Caenorhabditis elegans: one gene and its partners. The protein of the gene in region 1 purifies or fractionates together with the protein of each later gene. This does not show direct contact. Each region holds a gene or a part of one and is shown in the gene's direction. Other genes may lie near its edges. The genes, in order: Y37H2A.18, lys-1, fbxa-101 and trpp-10.

The links.
Region 2: the proteins of Y37H2A.18 (region 1) and lys-1 fractionate together in Caenorhabditis elegans (co-fractionation; one large-scale study listed by BioGRID). This does not show direct contact.
Region 3: the proteins of Y37H2A.18 (region 1) and fbxa-101 fractionate together in Caenorhabditis elegans (co-fractionation; one large-scale study listed by BioGRID). This does not show direct contact.
Region 4: the proteins of Y37H2A.18 (region 1) and trpp-10 fractionate together in Caenorhabditis elegans (co-fractionation; one large-scale study listed by BioGRID). This does not show direct contact.

Annotation. Positions count from the first base shown.
Region 1 is NC_003283.11:18,130,035-18,136,119, reverse strand, and holds Y37H2A.18 (F-box domain-containing protein), read left to right. Parts: upstream 1-2,842; 5' UTR 2,843-2,887; coding exon 2,888-2,928; intron 2,929-3,408; coding exon 3,409-3,895; intron 3,896-4,252; coding exon 4,253-4,453; 3' UTR 4,454-4,501; downstream 4,502-6,085. Other genes in the region: Y37H2A.7 (F-box domain-containing protein), read left to right, coding at 1,642-1,862, 1,917-2,000, 2,229-2,820; Y37H2A.12 (F-box domain-containing protein), read left to right, coding at 5,011-5,060, 5,130-5,321, 5,370-5,453.
Region 2 is NC_003283.11:10,274,435-10,280,216, forward strand, and holds lys-1 (Lysozyme-like protein 1), read left to right. Parts: upstream 1-3,469; 5' UTR 3,470-3,473; coding exon 3,474-3,935; intron 3,936-4,129; coding exon 4,130-4,564; 3' UTR 4,565-4,622; downstream 4,623-5,782. Other genes in the region: Y22F5A.11 (uncharacterized protein), read right to left, coding at 968-1,064, 1,115-1,143.
Region 3 is NC_003279.8:12,957,262-12,963,200, reverse strand, and holds fbxa-101 (DUF38 domain-containing protein), read left to right. Parts: upstream 1-3,268; 5' UTR 3,269-3,281; coding exon 3,282-3,340; intron 3,341-3,395; coding exon 3,396-3,479; intron 3,480-3,536; coding exon 3,537-4,218; intron 4,219-4,265; coding exon 4,266-4,469; 3' UTR 4,470-4,561; downstream 4,562-5,939. Other genes in the region: C47B2.2 (Phosphoribosyltransferase domain-containing protein), read left to right, coding at 153-234, 546-750; fbxa-140 (F-box domain-containing protein), read left to right, coding at 1,740-1,792, 1,847-2,519, 2,569-2,829; F08A8.5 (Galactoside 2-alpha-L-fucosyltransferase), read left to right, coding at 5,299-5,344, 5,577-5,740, 5,786-5,861, 5,924-5,939.
Region 4 is NC_003279.8:1,892,307-1,899,356, forward strand, and holds the start of trpp-10 (Trafficking protein particle complex subunit TRAPPC10/Trs130 N-terminal domain-containing protein), read left to right. Parts: upstream 1-2,869; 5' UTR 2,870-2,928; coding exon 2,929-2,998; intron 2,999-3,047; exon of another isoform or gene 3,048-3,049; coding exon 3,050-3,131; intron 3,132-3,191; coding exon 3,192-3,390; intron 3,391-4,168; coding exon 4,169-4,471; intron 4,472-6,721; coding exon 6,722-7,050. Other genes in the region: Y71G12A.4 (AB hydrolase-1 domain-containing protein), read right to left, coding at 1-263, 335-566, 1,391-1,679, 2,363-2,438, 2,532-2,572.

The DNA of each region.
Region 1 (6,085 bases):
GGAAGTGGCTCATACCATTTCGGTTCAAATACTCTCAGAATTTCCATAGGATCAGGCATTTCCACAAAGATCGTCGCCGTCTGGAAGCCGGGCTATTTCATGAGAACCTGGAAAATTAATTATTTGAAAATAAAACCAAATTTTTGTTGTTAAAACGAACATTTTTAATTTTCTCGCGTCTTGTTTTGTGAATTCTTCCACCGAAGTAGTAAAGTGTTCCAAGTGGAAAAACTTCCCAAGTTTCGTGTCTTTCGACATTTTCCACTCTTGATCTTCCCAAAAGAATCGCTTGGCAAGTTTAAACTGCTTCGTCTTGAGAATCTCATGACACGACGAGACATAGGAATGCGGAACGAATTGAATTTCCTCGAGTTTTCCCGGCTTCAAATACGGAAGAACGTGATGATTAGTGGAGCCGAAGGGATCACGGAGGATTACAGTGTTAACATCAACGGATTTCAGCTTTTTCAGCATTTTTTTAACGAGTTCCATATTCTCTTCGCGGAGGTATTTGTAGAATGTGACGTCGAGAGTTTCAAGTGAGAATTTCGGATTTTTCATGATTCGGTACAGATCGGAGAGACCAGCTGTAACATTACAACCGCTTTCCACATTGACTTTTTGTTCCCCGTATGCAATAATGAATCTTTCATCCTCGGGTTCCTCACGGCGGTACCGAACGCTGTTCTCATCATCGTCGAAATTCATGATAAAGTATAAATTGGCAATGTCCAAGTCGATTTTTTTGAATCCGGGAGCTCGGCTGTCGATGACGTCACGGAAACGACGAGACACTTTTCGAATTGGGAATCTGGAAAAAATCTATAACAAATTTAAAGGAAAACCCCATTTTTTGCAGGAAATTTTACAGTTTTTTGTGAAATTTCCAGTGTTTTTGATTTGGAAAACTGAAAAAATTTTGAAATTGCTCTAATTTTCACTTTAAGCGGAAAATTAATTTTTATTTGAAAAAAAAAGTAAATTTTGATTTATTTTCCAAAATATTCGCATTTTTTGGCCGCTGCTAATTTTTGGGTAATTAATTTCCACTAACAGCTCGATTGGCTTCACGTAGTTGAAAATTTCATTGAGCATATCGTCCGGAAGCTCCATAAGTTAAAGACTTTTCGGGTTGAATCTGAAATATTTTAAATTATTTAATTTATGTTGTTTTTTTTTTCAAATTTCCTCTAAATACCTTAATTCACTGCCCAATTGATAGAAGAAAAACTCAAATTCACGATATTCCATTGCATTTTCTCCGAAAACATCGCAGAAAATGTCAAAAGCGTGTGAAATTTCGGTTTTCTGGAGGATTTCGTACAGAATACAAGCCCGCTGGGCATTTTTATCCTGGCGGAGCATAAGGAGATTCGCATTTTCGTCAGGATCTGTCATTTTTGCTGAAAAAAGCATATTTTTGGCTATTTTTACTTTAATATTATTCAAAAAAAGCTATTCAAAATGTTGCGCGTCAAGTTGAATGTCGAGTACGCAACCACCTTGCGTATTTCGAAATCTACAGTACTTCGGAAGAAAAATGTTTGTCTCAAATTTGTTGCGCTGAATTTGTTTAATTTTCTTTCAAAATAAATCAATTTTCGTCTTGAAAAAACTCAAAAATCTTAATTTTCAGCAGAAATGACAGATCCCGACGATAATGCGAATCTCCTCACTCTCCGCCAGGATAAAAATGCCCAACAGGCATGTATTCTGTACCAAATCCTCCAGAAAACCGAAATTTTCGACGCTTTCAACATTTTCTGCGATGTTTTCAGAGAAAATTCAATGGAATACCGGGAATTTGAGTTTTTCTTCTATCAATTGGGAAAGGAAAATGCCGAATTGGGCAGTGAATTGAGGTATTTTGAAGAAATTTTAAAAAAACATAAATTAAATAATTTAAAATATTTCAGATTCAATCCGAAAAGTCGTCAACTTTTGGAGCTGCCTGACGATATGCTCAACAAAATTTTCGACTGCGTGAAGCCAATCGAGCTGTTAGTAATTAATAATTGCCAAAAATTGGCAGAAAATATTGAATTTTCTCAAAAATTTAACGTTGTTCAAGTGTAAATCGAAGAAATTTCCGCTGAAAAAAAAAGAAAACGAGGATTTGTAATTTTCAGGAGAAAATACATTGATTTTTGTCAAACACTATTAAAAAAACGATTTGAACGTACTTTAAACTACACGGGTTTTCTTTTAAATATCACATTTTTTTCCAGATTCCCAATTCGAAAAGTGTCTCGTCGTTTCCGTGACGTCATCGACAGACGGGCTCCCAGATTCAAGCAAATCGAACTGAACATTGCCAATTTTTGTCTTAGTATGAATTTTGATGACGATGATGAAGACGTTCAATACTCTCGAGATGAGGATGAAGACGAGGAGGGATTTACTATTGAGTATAAGGAACATGAAACCCACGTGGCAAAAGGATCCGTCGTAGAAGCTGGTCTGTCGGATCTGTACCGAATCATGAAAAATCCGAAATTCTCGCTTGAAACTCTCGATGTCACATTTTGCGAATATCTCAGAGGAGAGAACATGGAACTCGTCGAGAATATGATGAAAAAGCTGAAATCCATTCAAGTGAAGGTGGTTATTCTCCGCGACGCATACAGTGACACTATTGATCACGTTCTTCCGTATTTAGAGCCGGGAAAACTCGAGGATATTCATTTTGAGGCACATTCTTGGCTTGCCAAGTGTGACAGGGTTATCAAGACTGAGCAGTTTAAACTTGCGAAGCGATTCTTTATGGATGGGGGGGGGGGGGGGGTATTTTGGAAAAAATTGACAAAAAAAAACATATAAATTAAATAATTTAAAATATTTCAGATTCAATCCGAAAAGTCGTCAACTTTTGGAGCTGCCTGACGATATGCTCAACAAAATTTTCGACCGTGTGATGCCAATCGAGCTGTTAGTGAATACTAAATGTTCCTAATGACTAAAAATAGAAAGAATAACAGAGAATATAAAATATATCGATTTACGCAGATCGTGAATTAATTTTCTGCGAAAACGCAAATTTAACTTTTGTGTTCAAGGGAAAATCAAGAAAATTTTCGCTAAAATGTAAGAAAACGAGAATTTATAGTAGTTTTCCAGAAGAAAGCACATTGATTTTTATCTGAAACACAGTTCACGATTTTCTGGCAAAAGAAAATAGGGATTTCCCACGTGGTGCCAGGCTGTCTCATCACGGTTTGATCTACAAAAAATGCGGGAATTTTTTGCCCAAAAATATGTGACGTCAGCACGTTCTTAACTATGCAACATCAGTTGAGAACTCTGCGTCTCCTCTCCCGCATTTTTTGTAGATCAACATAGATCAAGCTGAAATGAGACATTCTGACACCACGTGATTTCCTTAAAATGTGATATCGACATTTTTTTCAGATTCCCAATTCGAAACGTGTCTCATCGCTTCCGTGACATCATCGACAGCCGGGCCCTCGCATTCAAGAAGATTAGCTTTTACATTGGCAATTGGTCCTTTTTCATAAATTTTAATGATGTTGATGAGAACAGCGTTGAATACGTCCAATATTCGGATCAAGAGGACGACTTCACACTTAACTATAATGACAAGGAAATCCACGTGTCAAAAGGATGCCCATTGAAAGCTGGTCTCTCCGACTTGTGCCAAATCATGCAAAATCCGAAATTCTCGCTTGAAGTTCTCGATGTCACTTTCTACAATATGCTCCGCGACGACGAGTACACGGAACTCGTTGAGAATTGTCTGAAAAAGCTGAAACCCATTCGAGTGACTGCGGTTGTGCTTAACGATGCCTACGGTGATACTAGTGATCACGTTCTTCCGTACTTGGAACCGGGATACCTCGAGGAAATTCGTATTCGTACATTTTCTTCGTTTAAAAATGTTCGTTTTAACTAAAAATGGGGGAAATTCGTATTCGTACATTTTCTTCGTTTAAAAATGTTCGTTTTAACTAAAAATGCATCTTTTTATTGCCTGAAAACACCGAATTTCATCGCAAAACTTCTTGAAAACGTCTCAAAAAATGACCTAAACTTAGTCAAAATTTGAAATTTGCCCGACTTGTCCAGCGACTGGAAACTATCTTTTTTTTGAAATCACTGTCTAATTTTGGGTATACAACAGGGGTGTTGGAGGATACTTTTTCGGATAGTTTCTAATAATGAATATATTAATAAGTATTGGATAGCCATACAACTAAAAAAAATATAACTATTAAAAAAATAATTAATTTTCCAGATTCTCATGAAAAAGCCCAGCTTTAAAGGTGCTGAAATCTTTGTTGGAAATCCTGATTTCATGGAAATTCTGAAAGTATTCTACCCAAAATACTCTGAACCACTTCCTGCTGGAGTTCGCTTCGAGACCCAAGGTTTCAAGTTTGTTATCGGCTTCTATTTGGACAGTGTCAATCATATCATCTATATCACCAAGGTTTAGAATTTAGACGCTGAGTCTGATTGAATATTGTTCTGTTTTCTGTTGATTTTTGAAAATTTCCGTTTTTTTTTGTAGTTTTTTCCCTTTTTTTTGTTAATAAAACTGTTGTTTTTCGTTGAAAATGTAGACTTTTTCGGATTTTTATCCAAATTTCATGATTTCGAGTTAAAACTCGCGTTTTTTTTGCTCAAAATCGACAAAAATCAGGAATTTTATGATTAAAAACACTAAAGCACTACAAACTACAATTTGGAAGTGTTAAACAGCAATATTTTTTATAATTTTGAGCTATATTTCAGTTTCAAAATCGTAATTCTCGTGATTTTTCGCTTGAAATTGGGAAAAATCGATATTTTATGAGGAAAATTTTTCGTGTGGGGTACTGTAGTTGAAGAAGTACGCAATGCGCATTGCGTACCCGGCGCGTTATTTGACGAGCAATTTTTTCTCAGTTTTATTGATTTTTCCAGCTTTTTCTGGATTTAAATCGATTTTTCGGATGAATATGATTGAATTATCACAAAATAAAGGCTAAAATTTCAGAAAATTGCAAGAAAATGGAAGTAGAAGGCATTCTAGAAGGCGAAATCCCGGATTCTGCGAAAAAGTTAGCTTATACAATTTATATTTGTTTTTAATTTGCTTTTTTACAATAAAATTAAATATAATATTTCAGAGATCTCCTTCGAAACGACAAAAATGCTCTCCGAGCATGCATTCTCTACGAGTTTCTTCAAAAAAAGCCAGTTTTCGAAGCATATAAGAATTTCTGCAAAACAATTGGCGACGATCTTATGGAATATCGGGAATTCGATTTTTGGTTCTATAAAATTGGAAAAGAAAATGCGGATTTGAGCGGAAAACTGATGTAAATTGATTAAAAATTGCGATTTTTGACAAAAAATGTATTTTTCAGCTGGAACCCGGATAGTCTGACACTTTCGAATATGCCGCTTAAAGTTGTTGACACGATTTTGGAGAATGTGGAGCCAATTGATAGGTAGAGTTTTGATAAAATTTAGAAAATTTACAATTTTCATTAAAATTTAAAAAAAATTCGGTAAAACTTCAAAATTGGCCGAAAAATCGATAATTTCCCGTTTACCTGTGATTTTTTACAAAAAAATGTCAGAAATATTGATGGCGAGGAGATTTTTTGAACTAAAAAATCGCGAAAAATCCAGTTTTTTCTAAATTCTCTCCAATAAAATAATATGAGAACTGCGACCAATCAGCGATTCGCTCCGCCCACTTTTAAACCAATCAGGTGCCGTGGGCGGAGTTTGAAATCGCTGATCGATTTTTCACCAATGTAATCAATTTTTCCGAAAATTTATCAATTTTTCTGGAAATTCATTGAATTTTCTGAAAAATTATCGATTATTCTGGAAATTTATCGATTTTTCTAAAAATTTATCGATTTTTCTGGAAATTTAACAATTTTTCTTAGAATTCATCGACTTTTCTGAAAATTTATCGATTTTTCTGGAACTTCATCGGTTTTTCTGGAATTTCATTGATTTTTCTGGAATTTCATTGATTTTTCTGGAAATTTATCGATTTTTCTAAAAATTTATCGATTTTTCTGGAAATTTAACAATTTTTCTTAGAATTCATCGACTTTTCTGAAAA
Region 2 (5,782 bases), 7.9 Mb from region 1:
TTCAAAATCCGAATTTACTTCTCGGCATTTGATGGCCACTTCCAAATACGGTACGCTTTCAAGTTGAGGGTAGGATCTCTAGTTGTAACAAGAAGCTTACCAAAATGGTGTAAACTAGTTTGAAAGTTTGCAAAGAAGCAAGTATCCGGAGAGTACCGAGGGACACTCAAAAATGTGTTGGCAACAACATCTTATACAGGGGTGCGCGGCAATTACCGAACGCCAATTCTACAAAATGAGACGGTTGGGCATATTCCCCCGATATTTTTCATTACAATTTAATGATACAATATAGAAAAATATTTGCGCTATCTCAAAATGACTTTTATTTGACTTGAAACAACCGAGAAAGTGTTCAAAAACTGTCTGAAAGTTGAAAATTGCCAAAAATTGACGGCAATTTTCATCGACAATTTTCAACTTTCGGGCAATTTTTTAGCACTCCCCCCCCCCCCCCGGTATTTAAAAATCAAATAAAAATTATTTTCAAATAAAGCAAATATTTTTCTATATTGTATCATCAAATTTTAATGAAAAATATCGGGGGAACATGCCCAACCATCTCATTTTGTAGAATTGCCGTTCGTCAATTGCCGCGCTGCCGTTCGGCAATTGCCGCCTGATCTTATATAAGATTATTTTACTAAATGATCAAGTGTTTCTAAAAAGTGGGTACAGAATGCCAAATTTTCAATTTTACTATGGGATAGAAAAAAAACATTCCGTACTTGATGAAAATTCTTCCACAGGGAGTTTTATACTAGCAATCTTAATGATGATTGTAGTTTCGGAAACTGCATAACTGGTGATTTTTTTTAGCTAATGAACTTATACATAGTGGGATAAGACAACTTTATTTAAAATATTAATGTTTTGGAACATGGATCAAAAATTAAGGCAAGTGGTACCGTTGCAAACTGAGCTTCAAATATAAAATTTGACATAATAGAATAAACATTATTTAGGATTATTTTTGATATATGTTCAGTGTATCGAAAATAAAATTTCCCCAGAGCCACTTGCTCCTTGTGCCGGTTAGTTGGCTGAAACTGAGAATCCCAATTCTAAAGTTCAAAATGTTCATTTTATCTATCTTCTTCTTCTGGCAAAATACATTTTCAGACGTTCTCTGTGCATACTCATGGAGAAGACATTTGCGGATTCTTTTCAGAACAAAAAATAAGAAGAGCAACAAAAAAGTAAAAGACGAATGGGACGATCAATGGAAAGAAAGAAGGAAAAGGAGAACTCGTAAAAAACGGGACGGGAAACCATCGGACACATAAAACACAGAGAAAAGGCGATGCTGAGAAGAGTTTTCGTGGAAGAAGAAAAAAGAAGACGAAGAAGAAAGAGAGCAACGGACAAAAACGGACGAATGCCCCGGAAATAATACACGAGTGCTCTGCGCCGGATGTCGACCGCTCGTTATTATGAATGCGTTTTTTCGCATCGTTGATGACATACCAACAGAGCAAAATAGGTGGACATGGGTTAAGAAAAGAGATGTACAGTTCATTAGGTTTTAATTGTTACGAAAGGGCATACATTTTCTGAAGCGACCTACAATACTAGAATTTTGAGCGTATAAAAGTCACAAAAGTCACTTAATCTCGCCTCGAACCGGCATGGTCACCTTCAATGTGAACCTTTATAGGTTTTTTGCGCATTCTGAAGGCTATAATACTGATTTCAAAAATATATGCACGTTATCATTTGTAAAAGATCGATTATTGAAACTCTCACCAAATCCATCTGCCTAGTAAGTGCAATTCATATATTTTCGAGTTTTGAGAATGCAGCTGGATTTTCATTTTGAGAGCACAAAATCCTAGGAAAGCGAATGAATGTTTGATCTCAGTATTTTTTGATTATTTTCTGTTGAGAGGTGTATTTGAAAGGGTTTAATGTTGTGCAATGTTTTTATAGCAGTTTATTTGTTTTTTAATGCCAATATTTGCTTTGTCTTCTGTAATTTATAAAACATCTATAAAAAATTGCTGATCCAGTTAAAAAGATCTTCATTATTCCTAAAACTGGGAAAAGTAAGGTACCGAAAATCTCTGATTCTTGATCTTCATTTCTAACTAGAAACCTCAAGATAGTCACCGATAAATATTCAAGTGAATTACGTTTTCTTCTTTTTTATCTAGGAATTCCCTCCGCTCAGCTATTTTAACCCTAACAGGCCACCTTACGTTTTTCTTCTTTTAATTTTCTTCGCAGGAAAACTCATTTGGATGCGAACGAGCTTCTATTTTTTCTGGGTTTGTCTTGTGATTGGCCAGGCACCGGAGCATAACTGACGAGATGTCGGTTCCAGAAAATAAGCGGAGAAAAGGAAAAAAAACGAAGAAAAGAATAGAAAAAAGGAAAGTTTGGTGAAGTGGCAAACGGGAAGAGTCCGTCAATTGTTGTCGAGAGGCGACCACATCCTTCTACTCTTCGTTTTCGAATTTTTGGAGCTTTTCGAATTGTGACAATGAAGGAATATGGATGGTGAAGAGCACAAGGGTGACCAAATATTTTATTGAAACGGAAAAAAATGGACAATGAATTTGGAATGTGGAAAAATTGGGCAATTGTTGAAGTTGTCACATGGGTTTTGATATTTGGAAGTGAAAGATCCTCTTCGTAGATTGCTAGACGTTAATCCGAAACCGACATTAAAGATGAAGCAGCCAGCCTGGAAATGATATTTCCATGAAGTAAAAGAAAGAAAATGAGAATATCTAATAAATAAAACACAAAGATCTATCGTTGTTTTTTATTCGGAATATCATGAAAAGATAAATCTAAACTTCAAATATAAATCAACCTTTGATTCTCAAATTGTCGGCAATATGGCTAACGTTGTCTGACCATGTATTGAAAATATGTAGTTCTTCGTCAACTCATGATAGAATGTTCGTCAAAACCAACAGAATAACATGTGAAAAGTGGGATGTAAATAAATTTAGTGACTCATCTAAGAAACTATCAGCAATAGCCGTTAGCGACTAGTGATATATGTCATAGCGTGCTAGTATTCTATTGACAGAATCGCATGAGTCATATTCACATTTGTAGAAGTATTTTATCAGAAACCTTCAGTTCCAACCGCTTTAAAATTCCCTGCCCAAATTGGTCGCGGAAAGAAATTTTGTTTTAAATGAAGAATGCTTCTTTTTTTGACTAATCGCATAACTAATTTTGGTAGAAATTATTTAAAAAGAGTACTTAATTTTATCATCAACTTTCCAGTTTCCAATTAATATAGTCTTGACATTTAATATTACTAACGCCCCCGAATGAATCTCTTTCACCCTACTCGTCACTTTTCTATCTCCACTGATTACCCTTATCACTGGACGTTTTCTTCTACTTAAACGAGCCGCCATCCATCACCGAATCATTAGATTTTCATTCTCTCAACCTTTTCGTTGGCACTTTTCTTCAAGTCAATATTATTTTCTGTTTTTTGTTTCAGAACCATGCTCAAGCTTGCTTTCGTTACTTTCCTTTTTGCTTTGGCTTCTGCTAGACCACAAGATGTCGACTCTAATAGAGTTGTAGCTCTTCCACAGGACAACTTCGAAGTGACTGATATTGGTTTCGAGAAGATCAAGGCCGAGCCAGCTCCGGAAGTTGTGAACAATGATGCTTCATATGCCTACGCAGTTGATATTTCTGTTCCAACAACAGTTTCTCAAATGAACTGCCTCAAGACATCCAGATATGCAGCTGTTTTCATCAGAGGTTTCACTCCATTTGGATCTGGAGCATTCGACACAACTTCAGTCACTTCTATCAGAAATGCTTATTCTGCTGGATTGGGAATTGAGGTCTACATGACTCCACAACCACTTTCTTCTCTTCAAGGATACCAACAACTTGATGCTCTTTATAACGGACTTAACGGAAATGGAATCACCATCAGATCTGTCTGGATTCAGGTTAGCTATATACAAGAAATATAAAAAACCTTGAACAATTAAAAGTTAAATTAGTTAAAATGTCATATGTGAAAAACTGGAAACAATGTACACTTAAACATTAAAATCTTCTTTCCGGAGATTATTTTTCAATTTTCAACTGATAAGAAATTTAATTCTCGACGATTATAGTCTATACACTTGAACTCTTTCAGGTTACCTCCCCAGCCAACTGGCAGAAGTCTGCAACTACTAATGTGAACTTCCTCAACAGCATTATTTCACGAGCCAAGCAATACGGACTGACTGTCGGAATCTACACCAACCAATACGACTGGAGCCAAATTACTGGAAACTGGGCAACTTTGAGCTCTGATGTTCTTCTCTGGTATTGGCATGTTCTTGGAGGTGGTGTTACTGGAGAGACTCCAGCTACTTTCGATGACTTCCGTGCATTCGGATCTTTCAAGAAGGCTTCTGTTAAGCAATTTGCTCAAGTTGAGTCTGTCTGCTCTTTGACCGTCAATCGTGATGTTTACGTTGTTGGAATCCCAGCTGCTGCTTCATCGAAAAACACTGATTTTTTCACTCAAGAGGACATCAGCAGCAACAACAAAAAGATTGTTGTTGGAGGAGTCATTGGAGTCTAAAATATTTATGTTGTGATCTCTTACCTATTTGTATTATTTCAATAAACAATCCTAGCTTTATTAAAATTTTATTTTAAAAAATACTGAAATATACCATATAACATACCAGATATATACCAGAAATTAAAATGAATGATCAGTAAAATTTTAATTGTGTCTTTTCGCATGACGATTTCACTTTATTTCTGAAGATTTTTGTGGAAATCGTTTCTATAAATATAATTTTGAAAAGTAAACATTTAAAAAGTTAAAATAGCCGTGGCATAAATGCTAATTGGCAGTGATTTCCTGTCCCTCACTAGGGAACGGTCAGAAGGTGCCCATCGGACTTGCATATGAGACCTATGCCATTCGATAGCCCATGTCTTAAAACAGTTACTCGTGAATTTTTAGCGGCAAAACTCCCGAACCAAGCTCACGGCGGGCTCTCAAAGATCTTAAAATAGCACTGTAAGGAAGAACTTTAACGATCTAACGAAGCAATTTTCCAATTTCACTTTGGTAGCTCATATCTCCGTAGATAAATTTTTTACAGAAAAGTCATCAACTGATAAGTTGTTGATTTTGTTGTAACAAACAAGTTTGTAATTAAAAGTTTTTTACCACAAAATTTTTGTTTGAGATAAAAGTGCGTGAAGTGCGGCAACTGGTGTTGTTATTTTTATGCTGCTATTCCGTTTCTAATGATTTTCTCGCAAACAAAAATTTTTTGGTAAAAAACTTTCAACTACAAACTTGTTCTTTACAACAATATCAACAACTTTTTAGTTGATGACTTTTCTGTAAAAAATTTATCTACGGAGATATGAGCTACCAAAGTGAAATTCGAAAATTGCTTCGTTAGATCGTTAAAGTTCTTCCTTACAGTGCTATTTTAAGATCTTTGAGAGCCCGCCGTGAGCTTGGTTCTGGAGTTTTGCCGCTAAAAATTCACGAGCAACCGTTTTAAGACATGCACTATCGAATGGCATTGGTCTCATATGCAAGTCCGATGGGCAGCTTCTGACGGTTCCCTAGTCAGCCGTGACTCCAGTTTATCTGAGAGGGTATAGGATAGAATATATTCAATATTACCCGCGTGGAAGGCTTGTTGAACTCAACGTAATTTGAAAAAAAGAAATCATTTGTTCAAAATAATTAAATCTGAAAATTAACATACGAAGATGTTTTTGCACTTTTTAAGTTGCATTGACACCTAACGATAATATGCATTTAATC
Region 3 (5,939 bases), on another chromosome or scaffold:
AAATATATATAATAGTAAAATTTGCGTTTTTACCCAGAAAAGTGGTAGAAATCGTGAGTTTTACTGAGTTTGTCGAAAACTGGCGATACTTTTTTAAAAGAAAAACCTCAAAACTCGCAAAATTTCCAATTTTCATCCACTTTTTGTTACAGGCGACGAACAAAAAGTGCTCTACGCCAGGCTTCTTCCGGATATCACGTCGCGTCGAGTTCTACTGCTCTACCCAACGATAGGGTACGCTCAGAGACTACAAACTACAAAAAATATCTGGCCGAAATAAATTTGATTGAAAAATCTGAGAAAAAAAACACAAAATTTAATGTCAAAAAATCGATTTTCCCGGCGAAAAATCGTAAAATTCAATAATTTGTTTGACGTAGAAACTTTAAAAATGTCGATCACTAAAACTTCCCCAGAAGGCGAAAAATTGTCTAAAAAATTGAGTTTTTTTTTGTGCAAAAAAAATCTTTTTTTGAAATTTTTTTAACTGAAGAAACATTTAAATTTAAAAAATCACATTTTTATCAAAATTTCCAATTTTTCAGATCTGGGACGACAGTTTGCAAGGCAATTGAAGTCCTAAAAGAGGCACGTGTCCCAGATGAGAATATCTACTTGGTTTCCCTATTCATCTCACCGACTGGACTCAAGAATATAACCAGAAAGTACCCGTATATCACTGTCGTCGCCTCCGATATCACATCTCTCTATCCAAATCATTTCTCAACCAGCTATTTTGGTGCTGTCTAGACTAGTTTTGTGTAGTTTGTAGCCTTTTGACACTACAAACTACATCGTTTCCGTTTCAAATGCAGTATTTTTATTCACTTTTCTCACTTGATCATCTCTTCATTTCTCGTTATTGGTTTGTAGTTTGTAGTTATTGTAGTCTTCTTTTTTACTTTTTCACTGTTGATTTCCCCTATTTTTTTTTGACAAAATGTTCATTGAATTTCCGCATAACTAAATTCTTTTGTGTTGTTTTCGGTTCATTAAACATTATTTTAAGATGCAATGACTACGGTAGTCATTTTCTGAGTACATGGTGTGCGTACAGGGCGCTATATTTTACGCGCAAAGTTGAGAGTGAGATTTTTCCTCATTTTTTGGATTTTCACTGCAAATTTAAGAAATTTTACGAAAATAAACGTTTTATTTCAAATTCTATTTGCTACTTTGCATGCAAATTGTTTTTTTTTCATTATATTCTGAAAATAAAATAAGTTAAAATTAGCCGTTTCAAAAAAAGTTTCCGAAACTACGGTAGTTCTCGGAGTACGCAACTTGCGTACCGGGCATCTCATTTGACGCACAGAATTCCTAGTTTATTGTTTTTGGATTTTCAAAATTTCAAACATAGTTTTTGCATTTTTCCTGTCGTTTTTGTGATTTTTATTTGTGAAAATTTATTAGACAGAAAAGAAATTTTCAGTTTTCACGAAATTTACTGGAAAATTTGTTATTTTACCGTTAGGTAACGTATTTTACAAAGATATTTCACTTTATCCGTATTTTCTTATTGTTTTCTTCACTTCAAACGATTGAAAACTGAATCAATCAAATAAATTTCCTATTTTTCAGGTAATTTGTCAAAATGACTGGCTCATCTCGTGGAATTGTCGAAATGACAAAGAAACTGGATCGATTAAATTGTTAGTGTTAAAATGAAATTTGCATCGGATTCAGTTTAAAATTTGCTTATTTTCAGATCGAAGAAAAGACCACTTACGCTTTTAAGCATGCCAGTTGATGTTATGGAGAAAGTTATGAAGAAAGTGGATCCATACGATTGGTATCAAATTTTGAATGTTAGGCAAATGTTAAAAAAAAACCAAATGAGTTTCAGGATTTCCGTCCGCAATTCCAATCGAAATCTTCGAGATTTCGTCGACAGCCAGCACCTCAAATTGGACATTGATGTTTCTATTGAGGGCACTTTTCACACCATTGATATCAATGGAAATCAATCCTTCGGACCTTTCCATCCGGTCGTGGCTGATGATGAAAGAAGAACCATCTACAATAAAAGACTACAGTTTGCTCTCAGAAAATTGTTCGTGGTTATGAAGCTTCCAAGTGCCCAAATTGAAGAGTTCAAACTGGATTTTGACTTTATGGGAAGAGGAAGTGACGAATTTGAAGATATCTACGATATTGGTTCCAGAAGAGTTAGTTTTAAAAATAAACTGTTGAGTGCAAGCCTGAGAACAATCGATAAGGAGTTTGGAGAGTTTCACTGTTTCCAAGCGAAATCAGTTTCTCTGAGTGGACTAAAGGAACCTCGAACTGTGCTCATTCTCAAATCTTTCAAGTCTGGAACTCTCGAGAACATTGAAATCATTAATTCCTACAAGTTCTACTTCAGTTGGCAGCTGACGCTTTCGGAGCAGTGGAAGAATGCGAAAAAACTGAAAACTGGACTTTCCACTGATCGCTACACCGGAATTCGAGTTGCTGAACTGTTCGCATTTTCAAATATCGAATTCACAACTGTAGTATTGTCATCTGATTTGAAAGTGGTATAGAAATTCTTAATTATTGATTAATTAATTTTAGATTTTTTTTCAGTTGGTTGATTCGTCTGCAAAGCTGGAAACTTGTCTCAGCAGGAACACGTATGACAGCGAGGATGACAGCGATGAAGATAGTGATGAAGACAGCGATGATGAGGACAATAGTGGAGTGTTAACGGTGTCAAAAGAAGTGCTCAAAGTGTTCGATCCGAACTTTGTTGGCTATAACGGAACAATCAATTACAAAGCAAATGGATTCGAATATCTCATTGAAGTCACTGAATTCGAAACTAAAATTGTGAAGAAAATCGAATAATCTTCTCATTTTTCAAAATTTGCTTTTGTTTTACTAGTCACATGAATTCTTATTTTGTTACTTTTTTTGTTTTGAAACTGATTAAACCAATAATTTGGGTTACGGCTGAATGTTACCTTCCGTTTAATATTTTGTAATCTTCCCAGTTTTTCTATATTTTAAAAGGAATTCTCGAATAGTTAACAAAGATCCTTTTCCAAACTACGGTAACTCTCAGAGTACGCAGTATGCGTACCGGGCATCTCATTTGACGCACAAAAATTCTAAATTTTTTTTTGAATTTTCAAATGTGGTTTATGCGTTTTTCTAACCAATTTTTTGTGATTTTTCCCCTGAAAATGATTTAAAATAAGTAAAATAACCTGTTTTTGTAAAAATTAATTTCGTTTTTACACATTGAACGTGATTTTCTATATTTACTCAAATTAATTTTTTTCAGGTAATTCGTCGACATGACTAGCCAAAGAGCAGAAATTGGTGAAACGACGGACAAGCAGAATTCCATGAAATTGTTAGTTATTTAGGCTACAATAATTTCAAATAACTTTTTTAAAACACATTTTCAGATCGAAGACAAGCTCGCCGACGCTTTTTGACTTGCCTCTGAATATTATGAAGAAAATTGTGAAGAAACTGCATCCATACGATTGGTAAGATCAAATAAATAAAAATTATATTTTTAGAAAGTATAATAAAAATATTTTCAGGATTTCCGTTCGCAATTCCAATGGAAATCTTCGAAGCTTCATCGACACCTTGAAACTGGATTTGGACATTGATATTTTTATTGAGGGCCATAGGTACACCATTGTTCTCAATGGAAAATCATTTCGTTATCGGTATAGATTTGTGCCTTATGATGAAATAAGCAACGCTCGCAATGAACCTTTCCATCCGGTCGTGGCTGATGATGAAAGAAGAACCATCTACAATAAAGGACTACAGTTTGCTCTCAGAAAATTGTTCAATGTCATGAAGCTTCCAAAAGCTCAGATTGAGAAGTTCAGTCTAGATTTCGACTCAATTGGAGGATATGAAGACTATGTCCACAATGAACGGTTGAGGTCAAGCCTGAGAACAATCGATATGGAGTTTGGAGATGCTCACTGTTTCCGAGCGAAATCAGTTTCTCTGAGTGGATTCAAGAAACCACGAGCTGCGCTAATTCTCAGTTCTTTCGATGCTGGAACACTTGTGAAATTTGAGATTATGCGTTGCATCTTCAACGATATTCGTCCACTAACTTGCTTGGAACAGTTTAAAAATGCAAAACAATTGCGAACTGATCTTAACATTTGCTCCGTCTTTGGATTTACTGTGTCGGATCTTCTTGGATTTTCAAGTATTGAATTCACCAGTCCAGAGGTATCGCCAAATGATCTGAAAGAGGTATAGCAATAATCAATTTTTAGTTGATTTAATTAAAATTCTTTCAGTTGGTAAATTCGTCTACAAAGCTGGAAACTTGTGTCGTCAGCAAGCAATTAGATGATAGTGAATCAATTGCAGAAGAAATGCTCCAAGAGTTTGATCCTACCTTCGCTGGCAAAACCGGAACCATCAATTACAAGGCAAATGGATTTGAATATGTCATTGAAGTCACTGAAGAGCGAGTGAAAATTGAGAAGAAACTCGGCTGATTATTTAATTTTAATTTTTGTTTTTTGGTTTTTCAAAAATTGTTGTTTAATTTATTGTTGTTCATCTCGTTCTCATGAATTTGCTTTTGTCATTTTTCTTTGATCAACACTGGAAGGCTAATAGACTACAAACTAGACATTTTATAAGCCTAAGCCAAGAAAGTACATTGAAAAAACGTCGCTTCCGGTAAAGAAAATAAATCAACCGAAAGCGAAACTTGACTTTTTTTTGAAAATTATTTATGGAAAGTTCATGTTTTTAGTCGTTTTAGTGAAAAAATTTAAAAAAAAAAATTAAAAAAAAAAAAAAAATCAAGTGCTTAAATAAATTATATATTTTTGAAAAGAAAAATGAATTTATTCCTGCTCTAAGCTACAAATTTGTCATATTTTGAACCTTTCTTCTAGAAATTTTAGCTGAAAGTGAAGAATATACTAGCAAAAATTGTAAATTAATTTTTTAAAAACGTTTTTAGAAATTTTAAATTTTTTCACAAAAAAAAAATTTCCCAAAGTGTTTTTTCAAAATTCAAATTTTAATTTTATTACAAGCCCAAAACGTGTAACGAGTTCTATAACAATGATCTGGACCGCAAAATATGTCATTTTTGCAGCTATTTACACATCCCTTCGATGCACCATGGGGGCTCATTGCTCCAGTCATTGGCTATTTGGATACTATTAATAATAATACAAATACATGTTTTTCGCTGTAAATTATTGATTCCCGCTACTATATAATCATATTATTCAAGTTTTGAGAGAGTTTCAAAATTTGAAAAAAAATATTTTGTTTTGGAAATTTTTTAAGTGTTTGAAAATTGAAACTATGAGGTATAATTCGAATTATTTGATGTATTTTTGCTTGGTTTTAGGTGAGTTAGTGTAGAAAAAGAGTCTGAAAAATTTAAAATTTAAACAAAAGTTTTCCAGAATTTCCAAAATTTTCAAAGTAATATCTATAATTTTTTGACAGCATTTCATCTAAAACAATTTTTTGAATTCTCTTTAAAACCTCCAACTGACGCACTTTTGAACATCGTAACGTCATGTATCCAAACGTGCGCCAGCACCCAACTTCGCTGGCGCAATTCTCGATATTTCCAGGAATATTTGCCAATATCTATGTTATAATCAAAATAACTCTGGGATCCAGTCATATTTTAGAATATTTTCAAAAAAATTCAAATTTATCGCCAAAATGTGAGATCAATGTGAACAACTTGCTAAGTTTTATTGAAAATCGACATTTTTTGGATTTGGAGCAAAAAGTGAGAATTTTAAAATGGAATTGAAAAAAAAAACTTTTATTTCAGAATTCACAAAAGTCCCAGCCAAACTATGAAAAAACCTTGCAACTTATGCTTTTCGCCTTCCCTTCTGGTGGACTAGGTGAGTATCAGGAAATGCGTCAGGGCACTAGAAAAGCGCCAGCAAGCTTTTTTCATTTTTAGGAAACAAGCTTTTCGA
Region 4 (7,050 bases), on another chromosome or scaffold:
CCAAACTGAATCCAATGAGAATGATCTTGTCCTGTGAGTAGCCCAACGTGCCCATCGCGTACTTCATCACCGCCTCCACAGCAGCGTAGACATTCTTCTCATTTGTCGTTCCCTCGCTGACACCGTACCCGGGATAGTCGTAGATCAAAAGATCACACTGAAGAAAGTCAGCGATATCCGCAAAGTTTGGATCCATCATCAAGCAGCAGCCAAGGTCCGAGGAGTTGGGTTGCGAGAAGATGATGAGGTTGGGGGAACGGAGTCTGGAAAAGAGAGGGTTTAGGCGAGGCGATGCAGGCATGCCTACGTGCCTGCCTGCCTAGGCAAAACTCACCTCTGCCGATTCTTATCCCGATGCAGCCATCGAATCGATTGCTCACAATACAGCTCCATCGCACAAATCTTGTGCTTCTCGTCGTATGGCAAAGTGAACACTTTACAGCGGAGCAGGTGATAGAATACGTCGATTGCTCGGACCTTCGGCTTGATCATTTGTGGAAGACTAATCGAAAGATGCTCGTAACCATCGGCCTCGCTGGCTTGGAAGCATGCTTTACGTTTTGTTCCTGGAAGAGTTCAATGTGTGCCTGCCTGCCTGCCTATATGCCGTCTAGGTCTGGAGGCCGTAGTCGGCAGAAAAGCGGCAAAAACTCGGCCACCATGTTCTTTGGAGTGCAAATTTTCAAGAAAACGCATAGAAAAACGAGCTTTCTTCTTATTATTTTTCTCGGAAAAGCAAAAAATTAAAAAAAAAACTAGAAAATTTCGCTTACCTTATGACTGCCTACGTGCCTACCTTATGCCTAGCTTTTCTCCAACTAAATGCCTATATACGTGCCTACATGCCTACACGCTTTTCTCATGTCTATCTATGTGTCTAAATGCCTAGCCTATGCCTACCTACGTGCCTACCTTATGCCTAGCTCATACTTGCCTTTGCTCCTACTTTATACCTGCCTACGCGCCTACGTGCCTACAAGCTTTTCTCATGCCTATATAGGTGTCTATATGCCTATATTTTGCCTACCTACGCGCCTACGTGCCTACACGCTTTTCTTATGCCTATCTATGTGTCTACGTGCCTAAGTGCCTACACGCTTTTCTCTTTCCTATCTATGTGCCTACATGCCTATCTTATGTCTACCTACGTGCCTACCTTGTGCCTAGCTCATACTTTCCTTTGATCCTACTTTATGCCTATCTATGTGCCTAATTGCCTACCTACGTGCCTACCTGCGTGCCTACGCGCCTACACGCTTTTCTCATGCCTATCTATGTTTATGCCTATATCATATTATATATGTAATATATCTTATGCCTACCTACGTGCCTACGTGCCTACACGCTTTTCTGCCTGCCTGCCTCCCTGCCTATCCAAATCCCCACAAACCTTTAGCCGCAATCAGGTAATAGTATCGTCCTTTCTGCGGACTACAAAACACAATTTTCCTGAACAACTTTGGCGGATACGGTGGCAGCAGGACGAAGAAGATCGACACAATGATCAGCAAAATTCTTGAAATGATCTTCCAAATCGAGAAGCTCTTCTGCATGACGTCACTCCACAATTTCGAATCGTGAGCCGGACACGCGACACGGTGTGCCACGTTTAGACATACGGCTGATTGCAGATTTGAGACGATTGTTGCGTAGTCTTCCGGTGCCAACGTGGCAGACATCTGAAAAAAAACTTGGAGCTTTTGGTATTTTTTCCCATATTTTTATTGCGTTTTTTTTGTGCAATTCAAAAAATTTTATGCAAGCCGCGCACGGGCACCTGGCCTTCCACATTGATTTTTTCGCGCTCCATTGACAATCGCCCGCCGGACAACGCGTGGGAAAGTCGTGTAGTCCACACGGACAAATACATTTAGTTTTACAACTAAAATCACCGATTTGTGGCTTCCCTCATAAGTTTAAATGGAAGAGTTTTTTGCCGAACTAGGCCATTTTGGCTCGGCCATATCTGGGGTAAATATACGACGCGTTGCGTGTTGCGTCGCGGCTCAATTTTAGTTGTAAAACTAAATGTATTTGTCCGTGTGGAGTACACAACTTTCCCACGCGTTGTCCTGTCAATGGAGCGCGAAACATTCAATGAGAAAGGCCAGAACCCCGTGTAAAACCGAGCCGCGACGCGACACGCAACGCGCCGTAAATTTACCCCGGTCGTGGCAGAGCCAAAATGGCCTAATTCGGCAAACTCTTACATTTCAAAAAAGAAGGCAAGCACCTGTGACCTGTTATACCAAGCTTTTTTCTAGGGTCTCGCAGCGATTCTCGAATAGGGCGCACTTGCAGATTTTTGAAAATTTAAAAATTCTGCAAGCGCGCCCTATTGAGAAAACTCGCCCAAACTCACCGTATTCTCCCCATTGGGACCAGTGGCGACGGATAGGTGAAGTTCTGTGCATAGACCGGCTGTTTTACGTTCTTTCCTGAAAATTTAGGCTTTTTTGGCCTGGAAGAGCTTTCTCTTCCTCGGCCCTCGCTCTGCAGAGAGCCCATGCCACCCACGGCCCATAACTCACTTGGCTCCGCGCTTGAAATTTCTCATCTTCGGATAAATCATTGTTTTGTTTTGTAATAAATCAGAAATAAACTGAAATTTATACTATTTAGTATATACTTTTAACGTGATTATTTGTTTTTTCGCTTTGACAAATTTTTTCTCAAAAAAAAAAACAACGTTAAAAATAGTTAAAATATAGTCTTTTATATCGAACATACTCAAAAAGTCGAAAATTTACTTGAGAATTCTATTAAAACGACATTCAGACAATATTTCCCAATTTGAATACCCGCCAATTGAGCGTGCGGAATAGCGGAGTGTCGTTGCGCGCCGTAAATCCACATTTCATTTTGTTTATTTATTTTTTCAATGAAAAAGCCTCAATTTTATTGATTTTTCCTAATTTTCAAGGCAATATGGATCGAGATTTGCTGGATATTAATGGATTATCGAAAAGTTTCCAGAAAAATTCAGTGATAATCTCTCGTGAGCCCGAAAAAGCCGGAAAAACCTGTTTTTTAATTAATATTTTTCCAGATGCCGGTGTAGATCAGTCGTTTTCTGTCTATCAGCATGCGTTGGTATCTTATTTTTCAAGAAATTCGCTGGTTTGGAAGATGTTAGAATTATTTAAATATTTAATACGAATTTTTCTAATTTTAAAATATATAAATTCCAGAAACAACAAACCCTTCCCGCACCGGCTGACATTTCCACTGAAATTCGTGTCTTACGAGGATAAACTGTGCTTTGGACCGCAAATTTCACCGACCGAGATCACGAAAATCGCGTTTTTACACGTTTTTAACATAAATGTCACCTCCGCCGACGATTATCGCGCAAATGTCCGGCATAATGTGTCGGATTGGTTCGCAAAAGTGATTTTTGATTTTTTTTTAAAGGATTTTAAAGGTGGAGTAGCGCTATTTAGTGTGGAAATTGCTATCATGATAATAAAATTCAAAAAAATTTTCTAAATTTTATATGATTTTTTGAAAATTGAAAAAATCTGAGTTTTTGCCTGATTTCTACTTGAATTACCGCCAATTGGGTTTGTTCGATGGAGCGCGCTTGCATGTTTTTAAATTTATTTATTTTATTTTTTGTTATTTTCCACCGATTTTTAATGTTTTCGGTGTATTTTTGCTTGAATTTTAGAGAAAAAGCCAAAATAAATGCAAATTTTCGATTAAAAAGCACGCTTACAGGCGTAAAAATGAAAAAGTAACGTTTTTAAACGATGTCGAACCTGAATTAATTAATTTCACTGATTTACGCCTGTCAGCGTGCTTTTTAATCAAAAATTTGCATTTATCTTGACTTTTTCTCTAAAATTCAAGCAAAAATACACCGAAAACATTAAAAATTGGTGGAAAATAACAAAAAATAAAATAAATAAATTTAAAAACGTGCAAGCGCGCTCCATCGAACAAGTCCAATTGGCGGTAATTCAAATAGGAATTAGGCAAAAACTGAGATTTTTTCAATTTAAAAAAAATCATAAAAATTTAGAAAATTTTTTTGAATTTTTTTATCATGATATTTGGTCATTTTGGTACCATAGGCATGTTTTAAAGCAATTTCCCCACTGGTGCTACTCCACATTTAAATGGAAAAAATGAAAATTTCATTGATTTTCATTGATTTTTCTTCCAGTTAAACTCAAAATCCGACGTTCAATGGATCATAGTGATAAATACGAATAGAGCCAAGGACAGGAAGACGAAAAATTCGATTGTCGAGAAAATTAAATCGGATTTCGCGAAATATCCTAATCGGCTATTCGATCTACCCGATACTAGTGATCAGGCGGCTTTTGTCACAGTTGTACAGGGAATTCAGCAATTTTTATTCCAACATTTGACGTTGGTCATGGAGATTTGGGATAAATCGCTGAAAAATCAATATGAACGCAAAAAACAGCACACTTGGGAGCCGTTTGCTTATTTTTCATCGATGGTGCGCGGCGATTTTCGTCTTTTTGAAGCGTTAAAAGCGGAAAAATTCGCATTTTTTCACATAAAAACGAGAAATTTTGGTTGAAAAAACCGAATTTTGTATTAAAAACCAACAATTTTTGATAAAAATGTGCATTTTTACCAAGAAATTGGAAAAATATTACTTTCTCGATTAATTTCGAGTGTTTTCTAACAATTTTACAGGAATTTCCAAGGAAAACGTATATTTTTGCTGAAAAAAACTTAAAAAATACAAATTTTCCTATAAATTTACCATTTTTCCAAAAATTTTTTTTAGAATTTATTTGAAACAAATTAATTTAAAATGCCAAAAAATGTAGAACTTTTTTTTGAATATAGGAAGAAAATTCACTATTTTTTGCTCAAAAAATCGAAAAAAAAAGCGGAAAACTATTAGAAAATTTCTAACAATTTTAAAGGAATTTTCAAGAAAAATTGATTTTTTTTTGTTGAAAAACTCAGAAAATTCCGGCTTTCAAAACGTTAAAAATCGATTAGAAGCTACTATTTTAGTTAAAAATCGGAAAAATTTGCCTTTTTTCACAAGAAAACCAAAAAAAATTTGGATGAAAAATGAAAAAAATTGAAAAAAAAACCGAATTTTGCAGTAAAAACCAAAAATCGTTGAATAAAATGTGCATTTTTAACAAGTAATTGGCACAATATTCTACATGAATTCCAGTATTAAAAAACACCACAAATTATTTTTTTACATCTGATTTAGAGTGTTTTCCTACTATTTTACAGGAATTTCCAAGAAAAACATATATTTTCACTGAAAAATTCAATTTTTTTACTGAAAAAACGGAAAAAATACAACTTTTCCTATAAATTTACCTTTTCTTTAATTTTTGAGTGAAAAAAATTCTATCATTTCTTTGAAACAAATTTATTTCTGAAAATTATTACAAAAAAATTGAAAATGACAAAATTTACTATTTTTTTCGCTTTAAAAAATCCTAAAAATCCAATAATTTTTTTTGTTAAAATTCAAATTCTGCTCATATACAGAAAATTCTGATTTTTTCCCAAAAAATTGAAAAATTTCTGACAATTTTAAAGGAATGTTCAAGAAAAACTGATATTTGGTTTAAAAAAATGTTTTAAAATATTCCAAAAAATTCCATTGTCGAAAAAAAAATCACTGTTACAAAAAAAAAAAACGACGATTTCGAATAAATTTAATTAAAAAAAAAATTTTTTTTTCGACAATGGAATTTTTTGGAACTTTTTAAAACATTTTTTTAAACCAAATATCAGTTTTTCTTGAACATTCCTTTAAAATTGTCAGAAATTTTTCGATTTTGTGGGAAAAAATCAGAATTTTCTGTATATGAGCAGAATTTGAATTTTAACAAAAAAATTATTGGATTTTTAGGATTTTTCAAAGCGAAAAAATAGTAAATTTTGTCATTTTAAATTTTTTTGTAATAATTTTCAGAAATTAATTTGTTTCAAAGAAATTATAGAATTTTTTCACTCAAAAATTAAAGAAAAGGTAAATTTATAAAAAAATGTTTATTTTTTACGTTTTTTTCAGTAAAAAAATTGAATTTTTCAGTGAAAATATACGTTTTTTTTTGAGAATTTTTTGAAAATTGCATTTTTAGACTCAAAACTATCTGAAAACACTGAATTTTCATAATGAAACTTCTTGAAAACTACTCAAAAAAGAGTTATGACGGCTCAATAAATGGCTTAAAATTAGTTAAAATTTGAAATTTAACCGACTTGTAAAGCGGCTGGAAACAATATTTTTTGAAATCACCGTCAAATTTTGAGTATATAATGCATTTATCTTGCGTTTTTAACTTCATTTAGGTATTATAAAGTCGATGGACGCTGAGATTTTTTAATTGTTTTTACCAAATCTTGCCGTCCACCGACTTTAAAATTATTAAATGAAGGTGAAAATGCGAGATAATTGAATTTTATACTCAAAATTTGACGGTGATTTAAAAAAAAATCAGTTTCCAGCCGCTTGACAAGTCGGTCAAATTTCAAATTTTAACTAATATTAGGCCACTCTTTGAGCCGTCATAACTTTTTTTTTTTTGAGAAGTTGAAATTTTCAAGAAGTTTCATTATGAAATTCGGTGTTTTCAGACAATTTTGAGTCAAAAAATGCAGTTAAAAATTCAACTACATCACCTTAAAGCGAAAAATGTTAATTTTTCAACGGAAAACTCTCACAGAAAATCACCAAAAATGTTTCCATATTTTTTTGCAGACAGAATACGCTCGCCTCTATTGGAGTTTTGGAGCAATTGAATACGCAATGTCAATATTCGATGATCTCGAAAAGTTGCTCCACGAGTTTGTGCTCCGTTCCGGAGAGCCTGAATCTCCGAAATGGCTCGCCCAACTGCTCAACACAAAAATCGACGATCGTCCCACGTTGATTTCCGGCGGCTTCTCAGTGCAACGAATCTCGAAATCAGAAGCTCATTATCTTGGAATGAGGAATTATTTGTTGTGTCAACAAATCATTATGTCCATTCATTTGTATCAACAAAAAATGAAATCAAATGATGCGGCGCCAAGTTTGAGATCAGATTG